7 linked regions of the Callithrix jacchus genome follow. The protein of the gene in region 1 interacts with the protein of each later gene in a pairwise test. Links are inferred from orthologs where the notes say so. Each region holds a gene or a part of one and is shown in the gene's direction. Other genes may lie near its edges. The genes, in order: PNMA1, FBXL18, ATP5PO, RUSC1, METTL17, MAB21L2 and HOXB9.

What was found.
Region 2: the proteins of PNMA1 (region 1) and FBXL18 interact in a two-hybrid assay, tested with the Homo sapiens proteins (2 studies listed by BioGRID). The two-hybrid records come from large-scale screens. The link is inferred for Callithrix jacchus from reciprocal best matches to the Homo sapiens genes PNMA1 and FBXL18.
Region 3: the proteins of PNMA1 (region 1) and ATP5PO interact in binary tests that used the Homo sapiens proteins (3 or more experiments, as listed by UniProt). The two-hybrid records come from large-scale screens. The link is inferred for Callithrix jacchus from reciprocal best matches to the Homo sapiens genes PNMA1 and ATP5PO.
Region 4: the proteins of PNMA1 (region 1) and RUSC1 interact in binary tests that used the Homo sapiens proteins (3 or more experiments, as listed by UniProt). The two-hybrid records come from large-scale screens. The link is inferred for Callithrix jacchus from reciprocal best matches to the Homo sapiens genes PNMA1 and RUSC1.
Region 5: the proteins of PNMA1 (region 1) and METTL17 interact in binary tests that used the Homo sapiens proteins (3 or more experiments, as listed by UniProt). The link is inferred for Callithrix jacchus from reciprocal best matches to the Homo sapiens genes PNMA1 and METTL17.
Region 6: the proteins of PNMA1 (region 1) and MAB21L2 interact in binary tests that used the Homo sapiens proteins (3 or more experiments, as listed by UniProt). The two-hybrid records come from large-scale screens. The link is inferred for Callithrix jacchus from reciprocal best matches to the Homo sapiens genes PNMA1 and MAB21L2.
Region 7: the proteins of PNMA1 (region 1) and HOXB9 interact in binary tests that used the Homo sapiens proteins (3 or more experiments, as listed by UniProt). The two-hybrid records come from large-scale screens. The link is inferred for Callithrix jacchus from reciprocal best matches to the Homo sapiens genes PNMA1 and HOXB9.

Annotation. Positions count from the first base shown.
Region 1 is NC_133509.1:108,629,448-108,633,475, reverse strand, and holds PNMA1 (paraneoplastic antigen Ma1), read left to right. Parts: upstream 1-1,228; 5' UTR 1,229-1,947; coding exon 1,948-3,009; 3' UTR 3,010-3,779; downstream 3,780-4,028.
Region 2 is NC_133503.1:17,013,213-17,017,220, forward strand, and holds the start of FBXL18 (F-box/LRR-repeat protein 18), read left to right. Parts: upstream 1-1,208; 5' UTR 1,209-1,333; coding exon 1,334-1,351; intron 1,352-4,008. UniProt on the Homo sapiens protein: Substrate-recognition component of the SCF (SKP1-CUL1-F-box protein)-type E3 ubiquitin ligase complex.
Region 3 is NC_133522.1:39,988,583-39,992,737, reverse strand, and holds the start of ATP5PO (ATP synthase peripheral stalk subunit OSCP, mitochondrial), read left to right. Parts: upstream 1-1,355; 5' UTR 1,356-1,378; coding exon 1,379-1,414; intron 1,415-2,610; coding exon 2,611-2,661; intron 2,662-4,155. UniProt on the Homo sapiens protein: Subunit OSCP, of the mitochondrial membrane ATP synthase complex (F(1)F(0) ATP synthase or Complex V) that produces ATP from ADP in the presence of a proton gradient across the membrane which is generated by electron transport complexes of the respiratory chain.
Region 4 is NC_133519.1:15,748,569-15,752,717, forward strand, and holds the start of RUSC1 (AP-4 complex accessory subunit RUSC1), read left to right. Parts: upstream 1-1,349; intron 1,350-1,351; coding exon of another isoform or gene 1,352-1,871; exon of another isoform or gene 1,872-1,950; 5' UTR 1,951-2,077; coding exon 2,078-3,440; intron 3,441-3,706; coding exon 3,707-4,117; exon of another isoform or gene 4,118-4,149. Other genes in the region: FDPS (farnesyl pyrophosphate synthase), read left to right, coding at 79-213, 708-908. UniProt on the Homo sapiens protein: Associates with the adapter-like complex 4 (AP-4) and may therefore play a role in vesicular trafficking of proteins at the trans-Golgi network. Signaling adapter which plays a role in neuronal differentiation.
Region 5 is NC_133509.1:55,498,020-55,502,000, forward strand, and holds the start of METTL17 (ribosome assembly protein METTL17, mitochondrial), read left to right. Parts: upstream 1-1,181; 5' UTR 1,182-1,187; coding exon 1,188-1,262; intron 1,263-1,414; coding exon 1,415-1,568; intron 1,569-1,648; coding exon 1,649-1,783; intron 1,784-2,988; coding exon 2,989-3,070; intron 3,071-3,416; coding exon 3,417-3,498; intron 3,499-3,981. UniProt on the Homo sapiens protein: Mitochondrial ribosome (mitoribosome) assembly factor. Binds at the interface of the head and body domains of the mitochondrial small ribosomal subunit (mt-SSU), occluding the mRNA channel and preventing compaction of the head domain towards the body.
Region 6 is NC_133504.1:46,207,836-46,211,923, reverse strand, and holds MAB21L2 (protein mab-21-like 2), read left to right. Parts: upstream 1-1,288; 5' UTR 1,289-2,372; coding exon 2,373-3,452; 3' UTR 3,453-4,032; downstream 4,033-4,088. UniProt on the Homo sapiens protein: Required for several aspects of embryonic development including normal development of the eye.
Region 7 is NC_133506.1:117,650,603-117,654,671, forward strand, and holds the start of HOXB9 (homeobox protein Hox-B9), read left to right. Parts: upstream 1-1,269; 5' UTR 1,270-1,589; coding exon 1,590-2,106; intron 2,107-4,069. UniProt on the Homo sapiens protein: Sequence-specific transcription factor which is part of a developmental regulatory system that provides cells with specific positional identities on the anterior-posterior axis.

The DNA of each region.
Region 1 (4,028 bases):
TAAAACAATTGTGTCCTCCCCACATTTTGCTATGTTAATATTTGCCTCTAACAATTTGCAGCTGTTTCACTTTTTCCTCATTTGTCTCTAAGTTGAAGGCCTTGTTGGAAGGGACAGCACAGGAACAGCCTTGACAGTCTGTAATTATTGTACAAATATTTTAATAGCATATAAATAAGTATATTCCTTTTATTTTGAAACAAATGATCAGACACTGCCTTTTTTGTGTTTGCTGCCTGTGGCACCCTTTTTTAAAAAGACTGTTACATATTAAAATAGTGTACATATATATATAAATATTACCTCTTTTGCTGTACAGTTGTGATAGAGACTGAAGATTTTATTTTTTGTGTGCTTTTTATAAGAAAAAAATTAATACACTAAAGAATCTTGCTGATGTGATTGTAATGTACCTATGTAACTTATTTACTTTTGAATGTTCTTCTGTATCTTTAAACCTTTTATTAAATAAGGTTTTAAAAATTCAGAGTTGCATGCTGTGTTCTCTGGGATTTTCACCATCTGGGATTGATGTAAGTGGGTCTTGTCTTGCTTGCACAAAGATTACTCAACATTTTCGAACCATACGGATTCTCTTTTAGCAGCCTATTGTCAATGATGCCAGCCAGGAAAAGGGAAATAACATATTAATGTTTACCTGGCTAAAAGATGACTGAGTAGACATAGACAAACATCTTTTTTACAAAATTTTAGACAAGAAAAAGGCAACTCCGTATCTTACAAAAATATACGTAAATGGCACACGCCGACATTTTGGCTGCGTTGGGATGAAATATGCAGGGTGCAGAGTGTGGTTGGGGGAACAGGGAAGCTACGGTTCTGAGGATATTCTCACGTGCAGGGTGGACTGGCTGAGCAATCTGAGATGAGTCCACCATGAGGGATGCATTTCCAACAATATCATCTTAAGTCCACTCCAGGATTGGGTTATTTTTAAAATACGGTGCTTAGCAGTCTTTGTTCTCTGTTTAAAAAAAAAAAAAGAAGAAGAAAATTACGCCATCAGAGAAACAGGTGCCCGGGGCACCATGGTAACCGCTGGACTCCGCCCCACCCCCACTCCCCCGCCCGCGGTGGGCCGCCAGAGCAGACGAGTCTCGTGCAGGCTGAGAAGCCGTTGCCATGGCGACACCCGAGCGGCTCCGCCGCGGGGGCGTGACGGAGTGGGGCAGACGCCGCTCACGGGCTGGCCCCACCCTTCACTGCTGCAGTAACATCGCCGCAGGTTGCGGGTAGGACACTACGTCTGGGTAGCAGCGCAGTGCAGATCGTTGCGGCCGCCGCTGCTCATCCTCTCTTCTGCTGTCTCCAGCCCAGCTTCGCCAGCTCTCCTGCTCCTCTGTTGCCTTCGTTTCTGGTCCTCGGCGGTCCTCGCCACCCTCCCGGAAGAGTCCCTGCTCCTGCCAAGAAGCCGCTCTCAGCTGGCCCGCAGCCGCCGCGACTTCGGCACAGTCTGCCTGTGCCGGGTCTCCCAAACGACCTCTCCTCGCCCTCGGAAGACCGGGCTGCGACCGCGAACGCCAGATCCTCTCTGGGAGCCGCCGCGAGCGCCCGACGACCACACCTCGGCGGTTCTCGGCCCATCGCGCCTGCCTTCGCCGCCCGCCTTCGCTCCTTGCCCGCTCCACGACGACGCGACGCCTCGGCTGCTGGCAGCGGACCCGGACCCGGACCCGGACCCAGACGCAAGATGGCGACGGCTGCGTGACTGCCTCAGCGTTTCCGAGCTCGTCTCCAAGTGCGTCCACTGACTGACTGTGGGGGCAGGGAAGGGCGAGGTCAGGACTCTGTGTCTTTGTTAATCGTGACTGCGTGAAACTCGCCTCCCTTGGGCCTACTTGGGGGGAGTGTCTGGCGTTGTTCTAAGGCCAGGAGCAAGGTGAGCCACTGTCTGTTGGTAGAATTAGCGTCTTGATAGTTGACAAAATGGCGATGATACTGTTGGAAGACTGGTGCAGGGGAATGGATGTGAACTCCCAGAGAGCTCTGTTGGTCTGGGGCATCCCAGTGAACTGTGATGAGGCTGAAATCGAAGAGACCCTCCAGGCTGCGATGCCCCAGGTGCCCTACCGAGTGCTTGGGAGAATGTTCTGGAGGGAAGAAAATGCGAAAGCAGCCTTATTAGAGCTCACTGGCGCTGTCGATTACGCCACGATCCCCAGGGAGTTGCCGGGCAAAGGAGGAGTCTGGAAAGTGTTCTTTAAGCCCCCGACTTCCGATGCTGAATTTTTAGAAAGATTGCACCTCTTCCTAGCTAGAGAGGGCTGGACCGTGCAGGATGTTGCCCGTGTCCTTGGGTTTCAGAACCCTACTCCGACCCCGGTCCCAGAGATGCCAGCAGAGATGCTAAACTATATTTTGGATAATGTTATTCAACCTCTTGTTGAGTCCATATGGTACAAGAAGCTGACACTTTTCTCGGGGAGGGACATCCCAGGGCCTGGAGAGGAAACCTTTGATCCTTGGCTGGAGCACACTAATGAGGTCCTAGAGGAGTGGCAGGTGCCAGATGCAGAAAAGAGGCGGCGGTTGATGGAGAGTCTTAGAGGCCCCGCCGCTGATGTCATTCGCATCCTCAAGACCAACAACCCCGCGATAACTACTGCCGAATGCCTGCAGGCGCTTGAGCAGGTGTTTGGGAGCGTTGAGAGCTCTAGGGATGCCCAGGTCAAATTTCTGAACACTTACCAGAACCCGGGAGAAAAGTTGTCTGCTTATGTCATTCGTTTGGAGCCTCTGCTACAGAAGGTGGTGGAGAAGGGGGCCATTGATAAAGATAATGTGAACCAGGCTCGTCTAGAGCAGGTCATTGCCGGGGCCAACCAAAGCGGGGCCATCCGAAGGCAGCTGTGGCTTAACGGGGCTGGGGAAGGGCCGGCCCCAAACCTCTTTGAGTTGCTGGTGCAGATCCGTGAGGAGGAAGCCAAGGAAGAGGAGGAGGAGGCTGAGGCCACCCTTCTGCAGTTAGGCCTGGAAGGGCACTTCTGAGTCCCAGGAAAGGCAGCTTTAGTGCAGACCCAGATCACAGCTACTGTCCTTGTCCCTGTGGGGTCTTACAGATGTGTCTGAGTAGTAAAGGCTTAGTCCTGTTACATTTGTTTTTGGAGGGCAGGATTTGTCAGGCCTGAGTATTCATGTAACATTCTAAAATTGTGCACGCAAGCACTGTGAGCTGCTAGCGGATCTTGCTGGCTACAATGCCGTTTACCTGGTTGGACACAGAGCTTAGTGCACGCGGTCATCATGGCCATCATAATCAGTTGTGAAAAACGTGTGAACCTGTGACACTTCTATTCCACGTTGAATGTGAAATTGCATGTTCAGATGTTTACTGCGGGGCCTGGCTCACAGGAAGTGTTCAGTAAAAGTGTGAACTGTTAGATTACTGATATTGTGGATAGTTTTCTGTCTACCATAACTTGTTCCAGATTTTATTAATGGAAGGGAATGTGCATTTATTATGACTCAACCTTACAATGTAAACGTACTATTTCTCATCTTTAAACATGTGGATCAGTTTAATTGAAAAGTATTCTGATACTGCAAAATGGGATGTTAAAAACTGCAGTTACGGAGCTGTGTAACCCATTTTTCACTGCATAAGATACAGATGTAAATTGCATGGAGAGGTTGATGTGCACCTGTTAGAGTAATTCACTTCCCCAATTTCAAATCTTTGTCAGAAAATAGTTCTTGTTCATACTAATTCTGAGTGTTCTAAATTTGAAGTTACATACAGAAATAAAAATGTTTTTCGATTTCTGTTGTCTTCTCCTTTTGCTGGCATGTACAAACATCTTTAGCCTAAGTAAACTCTGTCCATTTTTCTTATGAAGACTGTCATTAACTCAAACCATATGTTTTACTTACCACAGACACTCAGCATGTCTTCACCCACTACCCATCATTCACAGAGCTTTCCCCTCCATTCCCACCAGCATCAGGTGCACACTCACCCACCTCCTACGCTCTACACATTCACTGCCATCTCCCACTCAGTACTCCCA
Region 2 (4,008 bases), on another chromosome or scaffold:
CGATCTTTTGACCTCGTGATCCACCCGCCTCGGCCTCCCAAAGTGCTGGGATTACAGGCTTGAGCCACCGCGCCCGGCCAATTTGTTTTATTTTTAGTAGAGACGGGTTTTTGCCTTGTTGGCCAGGCTGGTCTCGAATTCCTGACTGTGATTTGCCCACTTCGGCCTCCCAAAGTGCTGGGATTACAGGCGTGAATCCCAGGGATTTTTTTTTTTTTTTTTTTTAAAGAGTTTATCTCTGTCTCTGGAGTGCAATGGTGCCATCTTGGCTCACTGCAATCTCTGCCTCCTGGGTTCAAGCGATTCTCCTGCCTCAGCCTCCCGAGCAGCTGGGATTACAAGCGCTTGACATCACATCCAGATAATTTTTGTATTTTTAGTAGAGTCGGGGTATTATTATGTTGGCCAGATGGTCTCGATATCCTGACCTCGTGATCCGCCCACCTTGGTCTCCCAAAGTGCTGGGATTACAGGTGTGAGCCACCTAGCCTGGCCTAATTGTTGTATTTTTAGTAGAGACTGGGTTTCACCATGTTGGCCAGGCTGGTCTTGAACTTCTGACCTCAGATGATCCGCACACCTCGGCCTCCCAAAATGCTAGGATTACAGCGTGAGCTGCGCCCGGCCGGGTCTAATTATTTTGAAATGCAAACGCTTAAGTGTGAGGGCACATACATTCATATTTACTTAGCAAATATGTATTCAGTGTCTATTGCATTCCTGGGATAGTTCCAGGTATTGGGAAATCCTGTCCCTGCTTACAATTTATTAGTTTATTAGGGGGAGGACCAAAAATAAAAAAAGATACCGTCGTCAGATGGTGCAAAAAGCTACAGAGAAACACAGACGATGAGGCAAGTGCCGGGGCGTGTGTGAAAATGGAGAAGAGGCGACGCTATTCCAGACGGGGTGCTCAGAGAGGGTCTGACCTGTGGCTTTTGCATATGGCAGGGAGTGGGAAAGGCAAATGCAAAAGCCTGGAGGGGGCCGTGCTGGGCCGGCAGCGGGAGGCCGGGTGGCTGGAAAGGAGCGTGCAGAGGGCAGAGTGGTCTAAGAACGAGCTCAGAGAAAAGGCGGGGGTCCCTAGAGCCCTTCCTGGCACCCCTGCGTTCCAGCAGCTCCCCGGGCGGAGCCACATCTAACATGGCGGCCACCTGGGGCCCATCTGCGGGCGAGCGGAAGTGCGTGAGGCGGGCGCCGGAAGTGACGGGACCCGGTCTTGCCGGGGTCTCGGTTGAGCTGCGGACGCGCCGGCTTGCAGCATCCCTAGCCGGGCAGGTGGGAGGCCTCGGAGTTGCGGCTCCCGAGGCCGCTGCTCGGCCCCGCCAGCGACATGGCCAGCTCCGGAGAGGTACTGTCCGCGCCTCTCTCCGCACTGCTTCTACCTCGGTGGCCTCGGTCTCCCTGGGTTCATCCCTCCCGACCTGGGTTTCCTTGCATCCTTTCCATCCCGACCCCTACCCGTCCCGTCCTTCCCATCCGGACCCTGGCCCTTGCTCCTGCTCCCGCATCCTGTCCCCCAGACGCCTGCCCTGCCTCGGAAGGCACAAGCTGTCTTTCCCTTCGCTCGTCTTTCCTGATCGGCAGAGTTGCCCCCGCCTCTCCGTCCCCTGAGTGTCCAGGCTCCTCCGAGACCCCTTCCCCAGTGCCCCCGTTCCTTGGCTGGTCCCCTACAGCCCTGGGACATACCCCTCCGTGCCCACGTCCCACTTCATCTTCTATCTCTGGATGCTCAGTTTCAGCCCAGCCCACTTCTCCGTGGAGCTTGCCTGCTGAATGACGTGGGGGGGTGGGTGATGGACGAAAAGCCATTTCACCTGGGGTACTTACGGCGTACCCTGGAATTCTTTCCCAACACTCCACAAATCTGGGTCCGATGGAGAAGCTCGCTGCGTCCCTGTAATGTGGTGAAAAGTATTGTCTCTGTAGACAGGGGTGTAGTAGGTACTCTAGACTGATTAGTGGCTTCCCGTTGATGCTTCCTGCCTATCTGTATGGGCACCTGGGTTGGTATCTGTCATCTTTCAGGACTCAGACCGTTGGGTGCACTTCGCAGATTTAGGAGCTTGCCTGGGTTCTAGGGAGCAGGAGTGAGAGATTCAACTGTCTTCCTCAAAGTGATGGAGCAGGGGTCTGTGGAAATGGCTGGGGGTCGCTGTGCTGACTGCCCCTCTTAATTTGAAGTGGTCTTGGCCTAGAAATGACCCCAGTGGCTTCTTGATTGACAAGGAACGGTGTGTGGCCCAACTGCAGATTGATGATAAGATTGAAATGCAAGTTCCAGCTCCAGAGGAGGAGTTCTGGGGTAGCATGGCTGTGTGAGCAGATTCCAGTTAGTTGTGTGTGCTTGGGGTCAGGGAAGAAAGGGGGTCCTGGTACTTTGATCTTACAGAGTTCCAGCTCAAAGGCCCCTCTTTTTTTTTTTGAGATGGGGTCTCACTCTATTCCCCAGGCTAGAGTGCAATGGCTGGATCTTAGCTCACTGCAACGTCTGCCTCATGAGTTCCAGCGATTCTCCTGGCTCCGCCTCCCAAGTAGCTGGGATTACAGGAGCCGACCACCACTCCCAGTAATTTTTTGTATATATATATATATTTTTTGAGGCAGAGTCTCGCACTGTTGCCTGGGCTGGAGTGCATGGTGCAATCTTGGCTCACTGCACTTTCCACCTCCTGGGTTCAAGCGATTCTCCTGCCTCAGCCTCCTGAGTAGCTGGTGGTGCCTGCCACCATGCCTGGCTAATTTTTTTGTATCTTTAGTAGAGATGGGATTTCACTCTGTTGGCCAGGCTGGTCTCCAACTCCTGACCTCATGATCCACCCACCTCAACCTCCCAAAGTGCTAGGACTGCAGGCATTAGCCATTGCACCCTGCCAATGTTTTGTATTTTTAGCAGAGATGGGCTTTCACTATGTTGGCCAGGCTGGTCTTGAACTCCTGACCTCAGGTGATCTGCCTGCCTTGGCCTTCCAAAGTGCTGGGATTACAGGTGTGAGCTACTGTGCCCCAGCCAGGCTCTGCTTTTTTTTTTTTTTTAATAGCACTTCACATGGTTCAGTACTTGTTTTTCTCAGGTATTAAAAATGCTCCCAGCAGGGCATGGTGGCTCACGCCTGTAACCCCAGCACTTTGGGAGGCCAAGGTAGACTGATTGCTTGAGTCCAGGAATTTGAGACCAGTGTGGGCAACATGGAAACCCTGTCTCTACAAAAAAAAAAAACATGAAAATTAGCTGAGGGTGGTGGCTCATGCCTATAATCCCAGCACTTTGGGAGGCTGAGGCTGGTGAATCACCAGGTCAGGAGATTGAGACCATCCTGGCGAACATGGTAAAACCCCGTCTCTACTAAAAAATCAAAAAATTAAAATAAAAAATTAGGTGGTCATGGTGGCAGACACATGTAGTCCCAGCTACTCAGGAGGCTGAGGCAGAAGAATTGCTTGAACCTGGGAGGCAGAGATTGCAGTGAGCCTAAGTCATGCCACTGCACTCCAGCATAGCAACAGAGCAAGACTCTGTCTCAAAACAAAACAAGATCCCATTTCTACAAAAATTACAAAATTAGCCTGGTGTAGGGACCTGCACCTGTAGTTCCATCTACTTGGGAGGCTGAGGCAGGAAGATCACTTGAGCCCAGGAGGCCGTGGCTGCAATGAGCTATGATTGTACTGCATTCCTGCTTGGGAGATAGAGTGAAACCCTGTCTCAAACAAAAAAGTTAAATAAAAAATGCTCCTTGTTCTGAAGGCATTCCTGGAGTAGTGGGGAAACCATTACAGCTCGTCCGACGAGGCTGGGAGTGGAGGCCTGGTCAGCTGTGGGGGGCGGTGAGTTAAGTTTGCCTGGAGAGTACTGCAAGGGCTTCCCTGAGAAAGGAGCTTTTGAGCTGAAGCATGAGAGTGTCGCAGTTTCCCTTGCTGGGTGGCATGTCTGGTCAAGGGGACAGCTTGTGCATAGGCTGGTGGTATCAGTGCTGTGTCTCAGGAGACAGCTTAGGAAACGCCAGG
Region 3 (4,155 bases), on another chromosome or scaffold:
GATGGAACAATGGCGAGCACACACCTGGACACGGGAGAGGAAGGGGTACTTATTCCTGATGGAGGTCACCACTGCTGCTGTGTCATTCCCCTGTTGTCTAGGGTTAGATCACACAGTCTAGTCTAATTCCAACTGGCTATTTTAAAAGGAGCAGGGGTACAAGCTGGAGTGGCAGGGTGGGTAGTTTGGTGGGAAGAACGGTTACAGGCAGATCAGACTAAGTAACCAGAGGTCAAAGCAGGTGACCAGAGTAGGTGACCGGAATGAGTCAGGACGAGCAGGGGACGGGGGGAACAGATGTGAACTAGTGATTAGAACTGGTGGAAATGTTTGTTTACTGAAACTACAAGGGAGTCAAACTTTAAAATGGAGAATTAAAGAATAAGAGAGCTGAACACACTGACACACTGATTATTTGAAGAGAAACTTGGGGTTCACTATATTTAACATTCTGAACCTTCTCGTAGGCCTATCTATGCATGCACCTCCTTGTAAAAATCCAGTTTTACCAAAACTGCTAAGTCAGTTTAGCCAGAACCCCCAATTCCTGATAACTGATCATCCTTGATATCTGATCAGGGTCCTCATCTTTCACCATCCCCCAGGTGATGTGTGATCACCCTGGCCCGTCTTCTACAAGATTCCTTTAGGTCGATTTAGCCAGAATCTCCCTTACACTTGTTTCCTCTTAGTAATTTTATATCCACTGACCATTCCACTGCTTCTTGATATGGGAATTTATGAGGAGTTGAGCTCAATCTCTCTGCTAACTCCAAGACTCAATTGCACTGGCCCTATATCCATCGCTATGGTCCTGAATAAAGTCTTCCTTACCAACAACCATCATTGAATAATGTTTTATTTAACAGTGGGCAGTCATGGCCCAGGTAAGAGGGACGTGATACCTGCTCCTGGAGGGGGAAGGCTCTTGGGCACTTTTTGTTTTTGTTTGGTTTTGTCTTTGTATGCAACATGAGAAAAAGCCATTGATGCAGGCTTTAGCATGTTATGAAGGAAGTGTAAAGAAGCCAGTGACGCTGGTAATAACTGTGAAACTGAACAAATGCCACCATATTTACCTAAACGTAAATTTTAAAACTGGGGATAGCAAATCCATTCTACAGCGAGGGCCGCTTAGCCAGTAAGAAGGATTTCATTTTCAGGTGCAGTCGAAGCCCTCTGGCTCCACCCCCAGCGTCCAGCCCTTACCACTGCTAAGAACTACAACTCCCAGCCGGAGGGAGGTCTCTGCGCATGCCGCCTGACGCCCTACGACCTACACTTCCCAGAGAACCTAGCGATTACGCTAACGTGCGCCTGCGCCCTTGTGCACCACTCGCTTCTCACTCTGGTTTGACCTACAGCCGCCCGGGAGAAGATGGCTGCCCCAGCAGTGTCCGGGGTCTCCCAGCAGGTGAGAGAAAGGTGGTCCCGAGAGCCAAGGGGAGGATCCCTCCGGGGGTGACCGGTACCAGACCCAGAGCGCGAGGGTGCGATGCTTAGGCTGGGGAAGTCTGGCAGTCTTCAAGGTTGCGGGGCCCGGCGACTCAGGGCGACCCAGTGTTTGTCCCCCAGATGCTTGCGGGGCTGCGCGTGTCACGACCTTGGCGTCCTTCGAGCACAGCCTTGGGAACTGCTCGCCTGAGAGGCGCCGCAGAGAGGGTCTGCGCTTCGCTGGATTCCTGGGAAGGGGCACGGCCTATCCCCTAAATCAGCTTTCTTTGCCATTGTGGTAAAACTTGTCAGAGATCGCTAGTAATGCCAAGGAACATTCGTAAAACACATTTCACAGTTTTGTAAAGAAAATAAGGCGGAAAAGTTTAAATGAGTCTTTGGCTGCTCAGCCAGTAAGTGGTGGAGTTGCGATTTGAACCCACGGAGTCACCCAGAAGATGAAGTTTGAAAAAATGTTATGCTCTTTGTACTGCATCTCCTCTTGGTGCTTTACGTATCATGACCCCTTCCTTGCATCTGAGGCAATTTTTACGTAAGCGTTAAAAAGTCTTTTCTTCCTCACAAGCAGTTTTGACAAAACACATTCCATAGCTAGAAGTATTTGAAGGTGACCTGTGATCTGTGACCTGTGCACTTGCAGGTGATTTTTAAACTGTGGATTCCATCTCTGTCTTCTGATGAGCGGGAGACCTTCTCTCAGATCTAGGGCCTCTTGCCGGTTAAAACTGCGGCAGTACTCAAAAAATTTATCTTTATTTTCAGATAGCATTTGGATTTCGAGGAAGGTACATCTGTTTGCAAATTATCTGCCTAAGGGTGTTGTAATAGAAACGCCAAAATTTTCGTTAAATATTTTAGAAACATGCACTCTTGGAAGTTAGTGTTTCTCTGTCATACAGGTGTGCTAGTCTCGGCCCATTCCTAGCAAAGTAGGATGTTAGTGGGAAGGTGATTTCCCAAGCAACTTGAGATAATCCTCACTGGGTAAGTTTACTCCTTAGTAATAAAAAGTAGCTAAATGTAATATGTGGTGATACAAAGAGACAAAACTAATGATTTTAAGGTCATTTAAAAAATTGTTTTGTTGTTACTGAGTTAAATGCAGAAACCCTCCAAGTAATCTTGTTTGATCTACTTTGCTTTATTGCTTTGAAGGTGCGATACTTCGGTACATCTGTGGTCAGACCATTTGCCAAGCTTGTGAGGGTATGTTAATTTCTGTTCTTCTGTAATTATAAAGCACGTGCAGGTGTGAGCCAAACAGCAGTACAGTCAGGGCGTGGATTTTGGGTAGTTACTATCTAAACCTTTTTGCACATCTCGGTTCCCAGAATGTGAGGTATGTGCAGGGTGGAGAAAGGAGTGATGTTGAGTACTTGCTTTGTGACAAGCCTATGTGTAATCTTTAAATATGAGAACTTGGTTTTTAATCATTTGTTTTTCCATTCTCCCTCTAAAATAGGCAAGCTAGCATTTACTTATTCTTTTAATGAAAGAAACAGGTTTAACAAAGTGGCATGCCCAAGTTATCACAGAAAATTATTGTTGGAGTTGATACTAAAATCGAGATACCAGACTGGGTGCGCTGGCTCACTCCTGTAATCCCAACACTTTGGGAGGCCAAGGCAGGCAAATCATGAGGTCAGGAGATCAAGACCAGCCTGACTGACAAGGTGAAACCCCGTCTCTACCAAAAATGCAAAAAATTAATTAGGCATGGTAGCAGGCACTTATAATCCCAGCTACTTGGGAGGCAGGATAATTGCTTGAACCCAGGAGGCAGAGGTTCAGTGAGCCAAAATCACACCACTGCACTCCAGCCCAGGCAACAGTGTGAGACTCCATCTAAAAAAAAAAAATCAAGGTACCTTGGTTTCTAATGTAATTCTGTTGCACATCTCCATGTTCCATTCTGGTAAGGACTGTTCATACCCTTTACACCCTTTCTCTCCACTAAGCACCAAGGAGGGTCACTATTTCTGAGAGTTGCCAGTCCCCTTCTTTTCAAACCGGTAGTCCAGTTGCCCCCAGATAAAGAAGACTATTAGTGACACATAATAAATGAAGTTCCCCAGGAGGCCTCCATAAATGACACATGGCTAACAGCTGGTAGCAGCTGGAACATGATGTCTGACTCCGTTTCTGTGGGTTATTTTGAAATTTCTTTATTTGATTAAAGACAGTTCCTGTGTGATAGAGAATTGATTCAACTGTCAGGGAGTAGGAACTTCTCAAAGATGTGCTGGGCCATCTAGCCTACTCACACTTTTCCCCCACCAAATCAACAGTGAGCCAATCCTCCCCTTGGAAAAAGATTATGAGATCTGTGTTCTTAATGAACCCACATCAGGTGGAATTTAGGAAAATAATTATTATGTCCCATCATTACCAGCCCCAAATCTCTCAAATCAAATGATCAAAATCATTTTATCCTTCATATGAAGGCTTAAAATGTCATAACAGTGTTAGGGAGTAACTGGTCTTCCCACTTTACAAAAGGAGAAACTGAGGCCCTGGGAGAATATACCTGGGGTTACTCAGCTTAGTCTTAAAGCTGGACTGGAACTAAATCTTCCTCATCCAAGCCTGAGCTTTTCCGCTACAACCATACAGCACCACTAAGAACATGTAGTCATACATCAGTGGTAGAAAAAAATCTACAGTTTATTGTGAAAAATAATTCAAGCATCAGGTTTTTTT
Region 4 (4,149 bases), on another chromosome or scaffold:
AGGGAACAGGCACCAGCTTCACTCCTCTGCCTGGGGGCCTCATCTGTTTCCTCCTTTTCTGCTCCTCCCCCCACCCAGGATGATTACCTTGACCTCTTTGGGGACCCCAGTGTGACTGGCAAAGTTGGCACTGACATCCAGGACAACAAATGCAGCTGGCTCGTGGTCCAGTGTCTGCAACGGTCCACTCCGGAACAGCGCCAGATCCTGAAGGTGCTTGAGAGCGGGCGGGTGGTGGGTCCCTGAGCTGGTGAGAAAGGGCCAGAGCAGTGGTTCCCAACTGGAGGCAGTTTTGTCCGAGGGGACATTTGGCAATGTCAGCAGACGTTTTTTGTCATCGTCATCACAACTCCGTGTGTGGTACAGGCATCTAGTTGGCAGGAGCCAAAGATGTCGCCAAACATGTAACACACAGAACAGCTCCCCAGACAGGATTATCTGGTCCCAAATTTCAATTGTGCCAAGGTTGAAAAACCCTGGAGTAGAGGATGCTGGGGTCTGAGCCAATATGTGGGGAATATTTGGGATGGTGAAGGGAAGCTTGTGATCTTAGCTATCTAGAGACACTTGAAAATTGGAGGCAAGAAGGGAGTGGGTGGCTTTGGAGATGTTCTGGAATATGTGAATGAAGGGAATTGGTTGGGGGTGAGTGTCCTGGAGGCTCTGGGGAAGGCCAAGCCCAGCTTCCTGTCTCCAATCCCTTCCAGGAAAATTACGGGCAGAAGGAGGCTGAGAAGGTGGCCAGAGTGAAGGCATTATATGAGGAGCTGGATCTGCCGGCTGTGTTCTCGAAGTATGAGGAAGACAGTTACAACCACATTATGGCTCTGATTGAACAGTACGCAGCGCCCCTGCCCCCAGCTATCTTTCTGGGGCTTGCGCGCAAAATCTACAAGCGGAAAAAGTGACCTAGAGACTGCAAGGGCGGAGAGGAGGCTCTCAATAAATAAATTATTGTGTAATCTTGTGTTCTGTTAATGCTTGGCCCAGCCGGAGTCTGGTTCTCTGAATGCTCGGGGTGGGCTGCTGGGAGGACTCGGTGCACGGAAGCAGAACCCAGGGGCCTTGGCATCCGCGCCCCTTGGGGTCAAAAGCTTGGGATATAGCCAACCCTCTGGGCGAGTGAAACCAGACGCTAAGCGCTAGGGGCGGGGCTGAGCTACGCCACGCCCATGCGCGAAGGGGTGCAGCTGCGCGGCGAAGAGTGGGTTGTCCTAGTGCCCCTCCCCTCCTGCTCTGTTCCCCGCCGGGCGGGGACCGTGGGAGCCGCGGACAAGCCCAAGGCCGGAGCGGTTCCAGGAGGACCCTGGTGAGGAGGGCTCGGCCCATGGGTGTAGACCGATAGACCAGGGCACGCTGGGCGGGGCTGGACAAATGAATAGAGAAAGGGTGCGGTGGTGGCTGAATGATGGAGACGAATGCGGAGAGAATGATGGACACACGGCTGTTCCAAGGGGCGAGGGCGCAGGCTGGAGCCCAGCCGAGGCAGCCGGAGGATGCGGAGTTGAGAAGCTGACGGCTGCTGCATCCTTTTCTCCTCCAGCCGCCACCCCTTTTCTGCATTTACCAGGCAAACTCTGCGTATTGCCCCACCCCCATCCCCTGCCTCCTTTCAGGGCATCTGGGTGGGTCTTCTTGGGTCCCTTAATCTAGGAGTAAGGGGTAGGCTGGAGGGCAGGGTCAGATTGCGGCAGCAGGGACCCAGCAGTCCATTCAGGGCCCCGACCTCTTCCAGGCCCCCGCCCCCCTTCGGAGATCCAGAGCGCAGCCGCGTTCTCTGACCCTCCCCGCTCCATTCCCGGGGGGTTACATTCGACTCCACCTGCAAACACTGCAGTGGAAACTAATGGCCAGTCGATTGCGATTTGCATCTCATTGAAATATCTTCCAAAGCAGTCAGAGCCTTCAGGCCTGCTGCTGCCGCCGGTCACCTCGGTGTCCTTCCGGCAGCTCGTCCTCAGTGGCTGGGCTTCGCCACCCCTGTCTTCTAGGTCTACACCTGTGGTTGCCAGGTAGGTGGATGTGAGAGACCCAATCCTCCTGGTTCTCTAGAGGCCATCCCATCGCCGCCGGCACAATGCTGTCCCCTCAGAGAGCTCTACTCTGCAACCTCAACCACATCCACCTCCAGCACGTCTCCCTGGGCCTGCACTTGTCCCGCCGTCCTGAGCTACGGGAGGGGCCCTTGAGCACACCCCCTCTCCCAGGAGACACTGGGGGCAAGGAGAGCAGGGGTCCCTGCAGTGGCACCTTGGTGGACGCCAATTCCAACAGCCCAGCTGTGCCCTGCCGGTGCTGCCAAGAGAACGGTCCAGGCCTAGAAAACCGGCAAGACCCGTCACAGGAGGAAGAGGGGGCTGCCTCTCCCTCAGACCCAGGCTGCTCCTCCTCGCTCAGCTCCTGCTCAGATCTTAGCCCAGATGAGTCCCCTGTCTCTGTCTACTTGCGGGACCTCCCTGGTGATGAGGATGCCCACCCTCAGCCCAGTATCATCCCCCTGGAGCAGGGCTCCCCACTGGCTTCAGCAGGCCCTGGCACCTGCTCACCGGACAGCTTCTGCTGCTCTCCTGATTCCTGCTCCGGATCTGCTTCTTCACCCGACCCTGGCCTGGATTCGAACTGCAATGCCCTGACCACCTGCCAGGACCTCCCTTCCCCAGGCTTGGAGGAAGAAGACGAGAGCGCGGAGCAGGATCTCCCTACCTCGGAGCTCTTAGAGGTGGATGATGGAAAAATCGACGCTGGGAAAACGGAGCCCAGTTGGAAGATTAACCCCATTTGGAAAATTGACACAGAGAAAACTAAAGCTGACTGTAAAATCACTGAAAACAATAACACTGGTTGGAAAAACAACGGGAATGTTAACTCTAGCTGGAAAAGTGAACCTGAAAAAATCGACTCTGGTTGGAAAAACAACACAATAACTGATTCTGGCTCGAAAACAGATGCAGGGAAAATTGATGGAGGATGGAGAAGTGACGTCAGCGAGGAGCCGGTGCCCCACCGGACAATCACGTCCTTCCACGAGCTGGCCCAGAAGCGCAAGCGGGGCCCAGGGCTGCCCCTCGTCCCGCAGGCCAAGAAAGATCGCAGTGACTGGCTCATAGTCTTCTCGCCCGACACTGAGCTGCCCCCGTCGGGGTCGCTGGGCGGCTCCTCTGGACCTCCTCGGGAAGTCACCACCTTCAAGGAACTCCGGTCCCGAAGCCGAGCCCCACCCCCGCCAGTCCCGCCTCGAGACCCCCCAGCTGGCTGGGCTTTGGTCCCGCCCCGGCCCCCACCCCCACCTGTCCCTCCCCGAAGAAAGAAGAACCGACCAGGACTGCAGCCCATAGCGGAAGGGCAGTCCGAGGAGAGCCGGGCTGTCAGCCCCGCGGCTGGTGAGGAGGCCCCAGCCGCGAAGGAGCAGAAGGAGCCGGGCGCGCAGGCCGGCCTGGAGGGTAAGAGGTTGTCAGAAGCGGGAGGAGGGCTGGGCTTCGGCCGCTCACGCCTCCTAGCCTTCCAACCCCGCCCCCTGTCTTCCCTCCATTCTGTGTCTCCCATCCTCCCCGGCCCTTCTACCAGGGAGCGCTCCGGGAAAGGGAAACTGGTCATTGGGTTACGGGACTAACTCTTTGCTCCCTCTTTTTCCCGCCCCTCCTTGCCTGGCTGCCCATCCCGCTGCCCTCCTTCCCTCTGCGCCTGGCCCCGCCAATCCTGCCTGCAGCCGGTCCCCTCCTGCTCCCTCGGCCCCTGGTTTTCCGGTTCTCGGCCGACGGGCGCCCCCTGTTGGAGGGTGGGGGCGCGGGCGCAGCTGGGTCTCTGCTCCTGGCGCCTCTGGCCGGGTGGCCCGGCGCCGGGCTGCGGCTGCTGGGGGCGCCGACCCCCCCAGAGGAACAGCTGCTGCCGGTCCGCCTGTCCCCAGTGGGAGCCTATTCGCCTCCGACTCGGGGAGCCTTGCCCTGCCTGGCCAGCCCCGAGCTGGCACTGCTGCTGTCCCCGCTCTTTCCCAGAAGTAGCACCTTCCCCGCCGCGGCTCCCCCACCCCGCCAGGTACCCGCCCCCCCGCTGCCACCGCAACCTCGTCCGCCGAAGGCCCCTCGCTGGACCAGGAGCCCATCGCCTCAGCCCAGGCTACGTAAGACGGACCCGGGCAAGCCCCGCGGGCCA
Region 5 (3,981 bases), about 53 Mb from region 1:
AGCAGTTGTCCACTGCCAGGCTCAGAAAGTAGGTATGGCCTTACATATGCCATTTATCCTTCTTTTTTTTTTTTTTTTTTTTTTTTTTTTGAGACGGAGTTTCGCTGTTGTTACCCAGACTGGAGTGCAATGGCACGATCTCGGCTCACCGCAACCTCCACCTTCTGGGTTTTAGCTGGGACTACAGGTGCGCACCACCATGCCCAGCTAATTTTTGTATTTTTAGTAGAGACGGGGTTTCACCTTGTTGACCAGGATGGTCTTGATCTCCTGACCTCGTGATCCACCCGCCTCGGCCTCCCAAAGTGCTGGGATTATAGGCGTGAGCTACCGCGCCCGGCGCCACTTATCCTTCTGATGCTCCGGTGAATGAAGGTGTTGATGGGCTTGCAGACCCTGGAGACCATTCCCCTATGTTACATTATCACGTCACAATAGTGGCTGAACCCACCTGGGATTCTGCACCTCAGGTAGTCAAGAGGGCATCTGTAGAAGTCCTGGGACAGAAAGAAACAGTCTGATCTAGTAGCAGGCGCAGGATATTCCACTCAGAACCATGTTTTCTGTGAAATGGGGATCAATCCCTTTCCCTGAAGTACCTGGCACATAGGTGTTCTCAGTGTTATGTTATTACTAAGAAGACTGGTCTAATTTGAAGAGAAAATAACAAATATTTAAAAAATAATAAACCTATTAACTAGGTTTAATATTTATCAAACTATTAACTATTCAATAATTATTTAACTATTAATATCTGTTATCTTCAGTCGCCGAAATCTGATTTTCCTCTTTTCTTCTTTCCATTACTGCATTCTCCCTTTTTCCACACAGGGAAAACAACCTAAGACTCAGTTATCCGCGGAGGAGAGCAAAACACAGAAGTCTACTCCGAGAAACAATCTTTGCCAGTCTTTGCTCGCAACCCAACTCCATCCCGCCCCCGTCCCGCCCCATCCTCTTAACTTTTGGCGCTGGCGACAAAGCCCAACCCAGCCTCCAAGTTAGCCCAAACATGGTTTCCGCCTCAAGAATATTTACATAGCCATTGCTTATTGGCTGCTGGCAAACACTCGCTCTTCTCGTTGGCTGAAACTGCCGGGAGAAGTTCTGCGAAGGCTGCTCCTTGCGGCGTTGGGACTGAAGGTCACGGGCATTTACACTTCCGTTTCCGGCTCGCCTCCGGAACCATGGCGGGGCCTCTGAGGTATCGACTGACATTAGGAAGATTGTGTCCCGGCCTTGGAGTAGTTCCCCAGACCCGGGTGAGTGGCTGCATTCCCTGCTCTCGGAGAAACTCTGGATCTCCAGAGACATCTCGGCGCGGAGGAGGAGCGCTCCTGGCAGTCCCTGCCCTAGCGAGCGCCCGCGGCTTGCCTTTCTGCCAAGCAATCAGCCTTTCTTTATCCGCTTGCAGGCTCTCGCCGCCGTAGTACCTGGAGTGACCCAGGTAGATAACAAGTCCGATTTCCTGCAGAAGAGGCCCCATCGCCAACACCCTGGCATCCGGAAACTACCGCACGTGCGGCTGCCACAGGCACTGTCTAACGGTGCCCAGTTACTGCTACGTGGTGAGTAACGGCGGGAAAGGGAGAAGAAACGGGACTGGACCTGCATGCAAGTGATTCCGCTTTTCATCTTTGGCCCATAGAGATCGCTGAGCCCAATATGGAGAATCAGGTGCAAGCACTGACCAATTATCTCTGGAGCAGACATTTGCCTGTAGAGCCAGAGGAGTTGCAAAGACGGGCTGTGCATCTTGAGAAAAAATTCCTGGAAAACCCAGGTAGGACTTAAGAATAATTTAAAAGTAGGCCAGATTGAAATACCAGTGAGAAATGAAAAGCAAGAAATAGTCTCTCAAACAGATACTGAAGTCCCTATTTGACTTTCTGACCACAGCAGCAGTTGTTACAACGATTCCTTACTAAAAGGAGGTAGATTATTCTAGAGATTGCTAGAGAGTGTCCCAGTATACTGGGTTTGGTTTGGTTTGGTTTTTGTTTTTGCTTTGAGACAGAGTATTGCTCTGTTTCCAGGCTGAAGTGCAATGACTCAATCTCAGGTCACTGCAGCCTCCTTCTCCTGGGTTTAAGTGATTCTCCTGCCTCAGCCTCTTCAGTAGCTGGGATTACAAGTGTGCACCACCGCACACACCCGGCTACATTTTGTATTTTTAGTGGAGACGGTTTCTTTATGGTGGCCAGGCTGGTCTTGAACTCCTGACCCCAGGTGATCTGCCTACCTCGGCCTCCCAAAGTGCTGGGATTACAGGCGTGAACTACCACGCCCAGCCAATATACTGTTAAAATCTAGATATTTGTTTTTTTCCTGCAAGTCCACTGGATTAGGACCTTCTAAGTTTCTATTCAGGTGAAATAAAGCCCTTGGATGGCCCCTGCCCAGTACTGAAACCTTCTTTCGGGATAAGAGAATACATATAATTCATCAATTAGTTTCATGATTGTGAGCTCCTTGACACTACAGACCTGCCATTTATTCATCTTACATTCCTTGCACACCTCACAGTACCTGGGTCACAGTAGGTGATTGGTAGATACTTGCTAAATAGTACTGAACTGAACACAGTCATGAGACCTAGATTTTCAGTCTCCTTTCTTCTCCATAGGAATAGTGGAGATCATCAAAACCATAAATTTTGGAGAAGTGAGGAAATCCAAAAACTAATGTCCTTGTCCTACCCTTTAAATTTTTTATCACAGTTTCCTTTAATATAAAACAAACCTGTGGGACAGAATTGGTTAAGTTAAATAAACCATTCTTAGAAGCAAAATGCCATCTGATACATTCTGTTAGTGGTAGTTGCTACTGTTCTTACCTGAAGCTTTTCTCTAGGTTTGTCTTCTCTCTTGAGCTTGAAGGTTTTCTTAGGTGGGAGTCAGAGAAGACTGGGTGGGCAGTATATTCAAATATTAGATCTGAACCCTGTTCTCCCTAGGTCCTGACTTCCAGTCCTTGTTCTCACCACAGACTTATTTCAGACAGAGGAGAAACTTCGTGAAGCAGTGCTTCATGCACTACGTAAAACTACCTACCATTGGCAAGAACTGAGGTAAGGGGGACTGGAAAAGGTGCACAAGAAGGAAAAGGTGAACTTTGAAAGAGAGGTGAACTTTGAAAGAGAGGGAATACAATTACACAATCAATGTAGTATTTTTTTTTAATCACCTGACCTTAAAAGGATCAATTTAGTATTTGAAAAAGCTAAAGTTCAAAGTTTTGAACATTAAAGTTTGAAAATTTAGTATTTGTAAGGCTCCCCAGGACCCTTCTGTATTGGGGAGTGAAAGACCAGAGCTGGAAGAGCCCTTTCCAGGATGTCATTTTCTAAATCTAGAAGGTAACTATGGGATTAAGATTATTTACTAGTTTGTATGACTCTCTGATTTTAATGGCAGCTACAGTGAGGGACTGAGCCTGGTGTATATGGCAGCAAGACTGGATGGTGGCTTTGCAGCAGTCTCCAGAGCATTCCATGAGGTAAAAGTCCCTTAACTTCCAACCTGAACTTTTTGACCGTCAGTTCCCTATTCATAAAGTAGTTTTCTGGGATGGGAATTCTTGGGACGTTGCATATGCATTTTTTTTTTTTTTTTTTATTAAAGAGGATCTTCACTGGGCATGGTGGGCTCCTGACTGTAGTTCCAGCTATTTGAGAGGCTGAGGCAGAAGGATTTCTTGAGCCCAGTTTGAGGCTGCAGTGAGCTGTGATCTCCACTGTACTCCAGCCTGGTGACAGAGTGAGACCTCATCTCTTAAAAAAAATACAAAATAAAGACATTCTCTTTATCCTATGAAAGCATTCTGTGACCCAAGAAAGGTTTGAATCACTATTTTAGGAGATTCTTATTCCATAAGATATTTATATTGAATCATTTATATTGAATTATATTTAAATTGAAAAAGCATTTACATCTCATATCCTCTGTGATAGCTCCTAATTCATATTTACCAAGGTCCTAA
Region 6 (4,088 bases), on another chromosome or scaffold:
GCTTTTTTTTCACCCAAAAGTACAGAAAGGCTACAGTGGGTACAGCTTGTTAAGGATAATCCATATACTTAAGGCACATGCATGCCTTTCATTGAAATGCCCAGGGAGGAGTGAAGCCATCTGTGTAATCAATAACAGGATACTTACAGATTTTTGTGGCAGTGAAGTCTTTTAAAAGCAAGAGCCAATTATGAAAATAAAATCATTTTACAAATGAAACTCTATTTGTACCCCCTAAGAATACATTCATAATTAGATTTCTAACAGTAACATTTTAAGAAAACTTTAGGTTTACATTTACTTCCCTTGTTTTTCATTAAGTTTGAAACAATTTTAGTAGCTTATTTTAAAAGTATATCCTACTAAGTTCTACATATAAATTTGCACCGTTTCTCACAACTTAGACATTTTCTCTTTCGAAACTGGTTAATTCTTGTAACGATAAAATAATGGTATTAAATATATGTGAATCTTAATTATGAAACAATTATCAAACAAGGTGCTTGGAGTCGTTTTTGCCCTGCCCTGTTTTACGACAGCATATCGAAATTACTAAAAAGAGATTTATGTTCATAAACCCTCACCTTATATCCACTCCAAAGCCCCACTGGTGCACATATACAGCAACTGCTCTGGTTCTTGGCAACAATGGGAGGGGAGGGGAAGAAAGGGAGGAAGACTTTAAAGGAGGAAGAGACCTGGAAAAATTAGGTCCTTTTCCAGATTCCCCTTTCTCCTCCCATTTGCCTTCAAGCCAAAGTAATTTTGTTACACTTTGCACCTTCTCCTGCCCAATGTTGATAGAATCATTAAAATTAAAGAAGTGAACCTTTCTGAACCACTGCTACTCTCCCTCGTGTTATTCCAGCCATCTCCAGGAGAGTCCCTTCTATATAAACTCCTTTTCTTCTTTGCTACTGATAAGAGAGGAGGATAAAGAAGAAGGGCTGTAAAATGTGTGCAAGCATTTGATTTCCATTATCTCCTCCTATTTTCTTACTTCTCTCTTTACCCCCTTTCTTTATCAAGTGCAGTGGTGGCTGCTACCGCTCGCCAAGCGTGCCTGTCTTCTCTCTCGGATTGGCTAAAGCACTGACAGCTCGGATAGCGATTGTTGGAGCTGAAGCTCCACCCCCTCATGATGGCCCTGGGACCATTCATAAACTAAATAACTCCAAGAAACAGCGAGGGAAGAAGAAAGAGAAAGGGAGAAAGAGAGAGACAGAGACAGAGACAGAGACAGAGACAGAGAGAGAGAGAGAGAGAGAGAGAGAGAGAGAGAAGAAGAAGAAGAAGAAGGAGGAGGAGGAGGAGGAGGAGGAGGAGAGAGAGGAGCAGCACGAGGGGGAGGGGGAGGGGGAGAGAAGCAGGGGGAGACGGGGGCGAGAAAGAGGTCGGAGAGGAGAGGCGGGAGAGAGACGACTCAGAAAGTGGAATCTGTACAAGCAACCTAGAAGAGGAGAAGGAAACCCTTGAATCGTTATAACTACACCCCAGATGCAACGCAAGCAACGACTTCGTCACACTAAAACGGATTTTGTGAGGGCCAAAATTATAAATTACGAAGCAGAAATGATTACCAAACAACTTCCAGCGGTTTGCACCTAAAGAAATGTAAGAAGAATCCACTACAAACAAACCAACCCCGTCCAAACAACGCCTCCAGTAGGAAAAGAGGAAAACTGCGACAACACGACCCCCCGAGAAGAGAGGAGACCAACACGCTGAGACTGCGGGGTGTCAGCAAACCTCCAAGTGCACGGCGGACAGAGTTGCACTTCGCAGCTCTCTGGACATTAATTACCTCCTGCACCTTCCGTTTGCGGGAGGGTGAGGAAGAAGGTACTCACCTACACTGAGCGAAGAAGTCCTACCAGCGTGGAAGAGAAGTTTAAGAATGAACCACTGAATGTTTCGCTTTTATATTTAAATTTATGTTGGCACTTAAAAAACTTCATTTCCAGGTTTCTAGGCAATCTCGGCTACAGACATCTAAGCCTAACCTTTTGGTATCCTGAGGTTTTTTTCTGTCTCCTTCTTCCTCACCCCCACCCCGCTGCTCTCGCACAAGGTCATCTTTACATTATCAAGAGAAAGTTAAAAGGTCCCAGGAGGTACTTTTCTTTTTAGAAAATCACCTTTTTTCCCCCTAATTTTTTTGCAGAAGAAAAAAGCTTTTGAAAGAGGGAAAAGGAAAAAAGCCGGCAGCCGTATCAGCCGGTCAGCCCAGGTGAAAAACGAGAGTGAAAGTGGGGTTTAACGGGGAGCGCACCGCCTCTTTCGAAAGCCGCTGGGCCACCACCAGTGCCTGAGCCTTGGATCCCTCAACGTATTGCGAGACGCCGGTGTATAGCCCGGACCTGTGCCCCAACATGATCGCCGCTCAGGCCAAGCTGGTTTACCAGCTCAATAAATACTACACTGAGCGCTGCCAGGCGCGCAAGGCGGCCATCGCCAAAACCATCCGAGAGGTCTGTAAGGTGGTCTCGGACGTGCTCAAGGAAGTGGAGGTGCAGGAGCCTCGCTTCATCAGCTCCTTGAGCGAGATCGATGCCCGCTACGAAGGGCTTGAGGTCATCTCGCCCACCGAATTTGAGGTGGTGCTCTACCTAAACCAGATGGGCGTCTTCAACTTCGTGGACGACGGCTCGCTGCCCGGTTGCGCGGTGCTCAAACTGAGCGATGGCCGGAAGAGGAGCATGTCTCTCTGGGTCGAGTTTATCACGGCGTCGGGCTATCTCTCAGCGCGTAAGATCCGCTCACGTTTCCAGACGCTGGTGGCTCAGGCGGTGGACAAGTGCAGCTATCGGGATGTGGTCAAGATGATCGCGGACACCAGCGAGGTCAAGTTGCGCATCAGGGAGCGCTACGTGGTGCAAATCACACCGGCGTTCAAGTGCACCGGGATCTGGCCTCGAAGCGCGGCACAGTGGCCTATGCCCCACATCCCCTGGCCTGGCCCCAATCGGGTGGCCGAGGTCAAGGCCGAAGGGTTCAACTTGCTCTCGAAGGAGTGCTACTCGCTGACCGGCAAGCAGAGCTCGGCGGAGAGCGACGCCTGGGTGCTACAGTTCGGGGAGGCGGAGAACCGCCTGCTGATGGGCGGCTGCCGAAACAAGTGCCTCTCGGTGCTGAAAACTCTGCGGGACCGCCACCTGGAGCTGCCCGGCCAGCCGCTCAATAACTACCACATGAAGACGCTGCTGCTGTACGAGTGCGAGAAACACCCGCGAGAAACGGACTGGGACGAATCGTGCCTGGGCGACCGGCTCAACGGCATCCTGCTGCAGCTCATCTCCTGCCTGCAGTGCCGCCGCTGCCCTCACTACTTTCTGCCCAACCTCGACCTCTTTCAGGGCAAGCCCCATTCGGCCCTGGAGAGCGCTGCCAAGCAGACCTGGAGGTTGGCCAGGGAAATTCTCACCAATCCCAAAAGCCTGGACAAACTATAGGGTGCTGGGGACTGCTTGAAAAGCGACACAAAAGGGCGTGCTCTCTCAGACACACAACACACAACTCAGCGATAAACAGCAGAAACTCTGGACACAAACTTTTATGTAAGTCACATGAAATAAACAGGAACCAGGCAGAAGACCTTCGTTAATTAAGAAGCAAACAAAAAGAGAGCAACCCAACCAAAACAAATCACATTCTTGCACAAAAGTGATCGTTTTCTTCCAAACAATGTGAATTTAAAAGGTCACACAAAAGAAGCAATCGGGCTGTGCCACCACAAAATGAAACTCAAGGTACACTTTCAAATCAATGTATAGTAGTTTCTCCCTTTTCCTTCTTTCCCCCATCCTTTTTCTCTCCACCTCCCCCTCCCATTTCGTTTTCTTTTTGGTTGCCTGAATGTTGTCACCAAGTGAAAAAATTATTTAACTATATGTAAAATTTCTCTTTTAAAAAAAGTTTTACTGATGTTAAACGTGTCTCAGTGCCAATGTCAGATTGTGCCCCTCCCTCTCCTGCACCTCTACCCTCACCCTGAGCCGCCTTGTTGAAAACAGTAATAAAAACATTACATTGTAATTGACTGTTTGTGGATTGTTCTTAAATGAAGGCAGGTGAGATCACAGTTTATA
Region 7 (4,069 bases), on another chromosome or scaffold:
AGGCGACTGCACCTAGGGCCGAAGGTGAGAAGCAAAGAAAGGCTGGGAGAGGAGCCAGGAAGCCAGTCGGTGGGCCGGGAAGAGTCCCCGTGCAGGGCCACAGAGTACATATATTTAAAAAAGGCTACTTGGTAGCTTCAATGAGGGGGTCTGCGGGGAGTAAGGTAGTGAGGAGCAGAGACTGACCCTGGGCTTGCTGTTCACACTGGCCCCTATATCGGTGTTTGGAAATCTCCAGAGCAGGAGCCCCGAGTGAGAGGAGCAGGATAGGAGGGCTGAAAACTCAGCCCAGGCTCCTTTCTCTCTGGACAGAAGGGGAGATGACATGGGACCCCTTCACTTGTTGGTTGAGGATCCCAGGCCTCTGCTCTGGTGACACCTCAGGGAAGTGCCCTTAACCCTTTCTCTTGTTCAGCTCCCTCATCTGGGCAATTTTAGGGGCCTGGATGATTATTCAGTGGAGAAAAGGAGAAATGGTTGCCCCCCCCCCCCCGCCCGCCCCACCTCAAATGCATCCTTCTGGCCAGAGTCAGAGAAAGGCCCAATAAATGTAAAAGCGCTCTGATTCCTTGTATTAAACTCTTTCCTAGGCTCTCGTTTCCAGAGCCTGATGGATCCCTTTAACCTCAGGCAGGTTCTAATTTCAGGACAAACAGTGGATTCTTGGACATTCAGCCGTTTTATTCCCCTCTGCCCTCCACCCTCCGCTACTGAGGGGTCCAGGGAGGTTCCCAGTCTTGTAAATCTCTATAAAGAGTGCACCGAAAGCCCCCTTCAAAGCGGACAACGTCCTAAAATCCCCAACTTCTCCCCTCATCCTTTTACTTCATCTCCTGTGGATTGCTGCTGCTGTTATTTAATAAACATCTTCTGTCAAGGGGACAGAGAAGAGGAAATGAGGGCCTGCAGGGTGGAGGTGGAGGTGTGTGTGTGGGGGGGACAGGACCACCTCATCTCTCAGTATCCTCTCGGGTCTTTCTGGCTGCTCCCCGGGCTGGGCTCTCTCCCTCCCTCCGCCCTTGCTCTCCCTCCCTCCCCGACCCGCCTAGGGAGAGGGCTCTACAGCCTGCGTCCCTCCCGAGGCAGCCAGCCTCTTCCCTCCGCCTCTCCTCCGCCCCCGCCGCCCCACGTCGAGAACTGCCCCCCTTCCTGCAGCGGGAAGAGTGGGGGGGGCGAGGGGGGGGACCGGGCGGCCGGCAGCTCCGGCTGAGGTTACGTGGCCGCCGGAGCCCTGACGTGATAGCACATTGCATCAGCATAAAACAATCCATCCTCGATATGGAATGCGGTGCGGACGGATGACAGCGAGAGCGCAGCCCCCTCGCCGGATTGATTTATGTCGGAGCTGACGCTTTATCAGGCAGTCGGAAAAACTTTGACCAATCATTTTGCTAGGAGCGCTGAGCCGGGCTGCTCCACTGTACTTTGTTGGCTGAGAAGTTGAGCAGGGGGTGGGGGTGGGAGGGTGGGGGGCTGGGGGGGTCGCGTCCGAAAGCCCTCACACCGGTCCGGGTGCCACCTCTCCCTGCTTGGGCGCCGCCGCGCGAGCGCTTCCCTTCCCCCTGTGAGCGCCCGGATAATGTCTGAGAATGTCCATTTCTGGGACGCTTAGCAGCTATTATGTCGACTCGATCATAAGTCACGAGAGTGAGGACGCGCCTCCAGCCAAGTTTCCTTCTGGCCAGTACGCGAGCCCACGGCAGCCGGGCCACGCGGAGCACCTGGAGTTCCCCTCGTGCAGCTTCCAGCCCAAAGCGCCGGTGTTCGGCGCCTCCTGGGCGCCGCTGAGCCCGCACGCGTCTGGGAGCCTGCCGTCCGTCTACCACCCCTACATCCAGCCCCAGGGCGTCCCGCCGGCGGAGAGCAGGTACCTCCGCACCTGGCTGGAGCCGGCGCCGCGCGGGGAAGCGGCCCCCGGGCAGGGCCAGGCGGCGGTGAAGGCGGAGCCGCTGCTGGGCGCGCCTGGGGAGCTGCTCAAACAGGGCACGCCCGAGTACAGTTTGGAAACTTCGGCGGGCAGGGAGGCCGTGCTGTCTAATCAAAGACCCGGCTACGGGGACAATAAAATTTGCGAAGGAAGCGAGGACAAAGAGAGGCCGGATCAAAGTAAGTTATAAAAAGTGAGGAAATACCGAGGCCGAAGGCCAGGAGGGGGCGGGGAGGGGAAAGGCAATAAACAGCGGACAATGTGAAGGGAAGCTGCGGCGGTGGTCGGAGAGCGAGCCGGGAGGAGGGGAGAGTAGCGAAAGACGGAGGGAAGGGGAAAGCTGCGTGCTCTAGAAGGGGAGACTGAGGCCGCCAGAGGAGCATCCCCCCTACTTCTCCAAGTCCTGAGGGGAACAGGGACTCGGGATCGACTTGCAGCTCTTTCGGCCTCCTGTCCCCCCTCTCTCCCGGAGGCCCGAAAGAAAGCCCGGCCAGAGACTGGCTACGGCGGGGAGAGGAGCTGGTGGGGCCCGGGGCCTGCGGCCAGCGAGGCCGGGAGCCGGCGAGGCCAAGGGCCGGAGCGCACTGGGCTGCCTGGGGCCGTGCGGCTGGCAGAGCTCCCCGCGCCACGCGCAGACCGTAAAAGCCGGCCAAGGGGAAGGGGGAGGGGGCTCATTAGGATTTTATTTGCGATGCAACAGCTTGACGGAGGATTGTTCCTAGCAGATCTCGCGCTGTAGCCGCGGAGTCCGCTGCCTGCGTCGGGAGGGGCGGGGGAAGCCCAGGACACGGTGACTGAGCCCCCTCCCCGATGCGCCGGCCCCTCCCCGGGAGCCTTCCCTCCGGTGGCCCCTCTCCTCCTCGGCGTCCTCGTCGGGGCTGCAGCTTCCTTTTCTGCTGTCCCCGCTGCTCTCCGCGGGGCTCCGTAGCCCCAGCCCGGGTTGTCAGCCTTTCCGGGAGTCTGCAGTCGGAAAATCGCTTCTGAATATCGGGGCGTCCCAAAGGGACCCCGGGGATAGGAGGGGTTGGGGGGAAGAGAGGGTTGCGGAGAGGCGGAGAACTTTACCCTTTGTGGGTAGTTTCCCATCACCTCCCACTCCTCAAAAGCACCCCAGCCGGAAAGCCAAGTCTGGCTGATTTCCAGGAGGTGCTACTAGGTGAGAAGCCAGGGTTCTCCTATTATTTATTTTTAAGGTTGAGAAGGGCACATCGGTGAGGGAACTCTCAGCCCCAAACAATGACTCGCAGGCTGGTGGATCCGGTCCTCGTCCCTCACTCTTTTTGAGAAGTAGGGATTTTCTAGTTTCTCCTTGTCCTGCTAAATTTCCCATTGACTGAGTGGCCCCAGGGCCCTTTAGAGCATCTTTGCCTGCTGGAGAGTAAAGAGCTGCCCCATTCCCTGCAGGGTCCTGTCACTTCCAACCTTCCAGGTGGAATCCTAAGAGCTGGCATTTGGGGAACACATTCTTCCCCAACCCTCCCCACACTCCCAAACAGACACTCCCCCACCCCAAACCCCCAGTCTCTTCCTGAAAAGCCCATTATTGCAAGGCAGCCATTTGGCTAGGATCAATTATTAACAGTTTTTCCCTCTTTCATATTTAATGCGGCTGTGGGTCCCATCCCAGGCAATCACGTTAAGGAAATAGTGCTGCAAATTGGTAAGACACGGTTACTTAGTGTAGGAGGAACCACATTTTTTATATAAAAAACCCACCGTTTTTCATTTGGGGACAAGGAAGCTAGTAGCTGGTGGCTGCTATTTTTAATTGGCTTAGCTTTATTTGGCAACTTTTTTGAGTTCCAGAGTGGGGGGAGAGAGGGTTAGAAGAGAGGCCTGTATATATTTTTGTTTCCTCTCTTCCACTCAGTTACCATCTTCTCCCCTTCACCCTCTCCCCGACATAGGACCAATTAAGGCTAGGTGTGCTTCCTGTTACCTCCACATCACCCCTGGCTCCCCACCTTGGGACTGGAGCAATTTTTCTCCCCAATTTCCCTGAACTTGTGTTAACCAAACTGTGAGCTAAGGATGAGCTGAAAATGAGAGAGACTATTGCAGCCATAAGTTATCTGTGAACCCCCGGCACTCCCCTGTCCATAGGCTGGAATTGATAAATGGTTGCAATTGCATTGCGTGTGA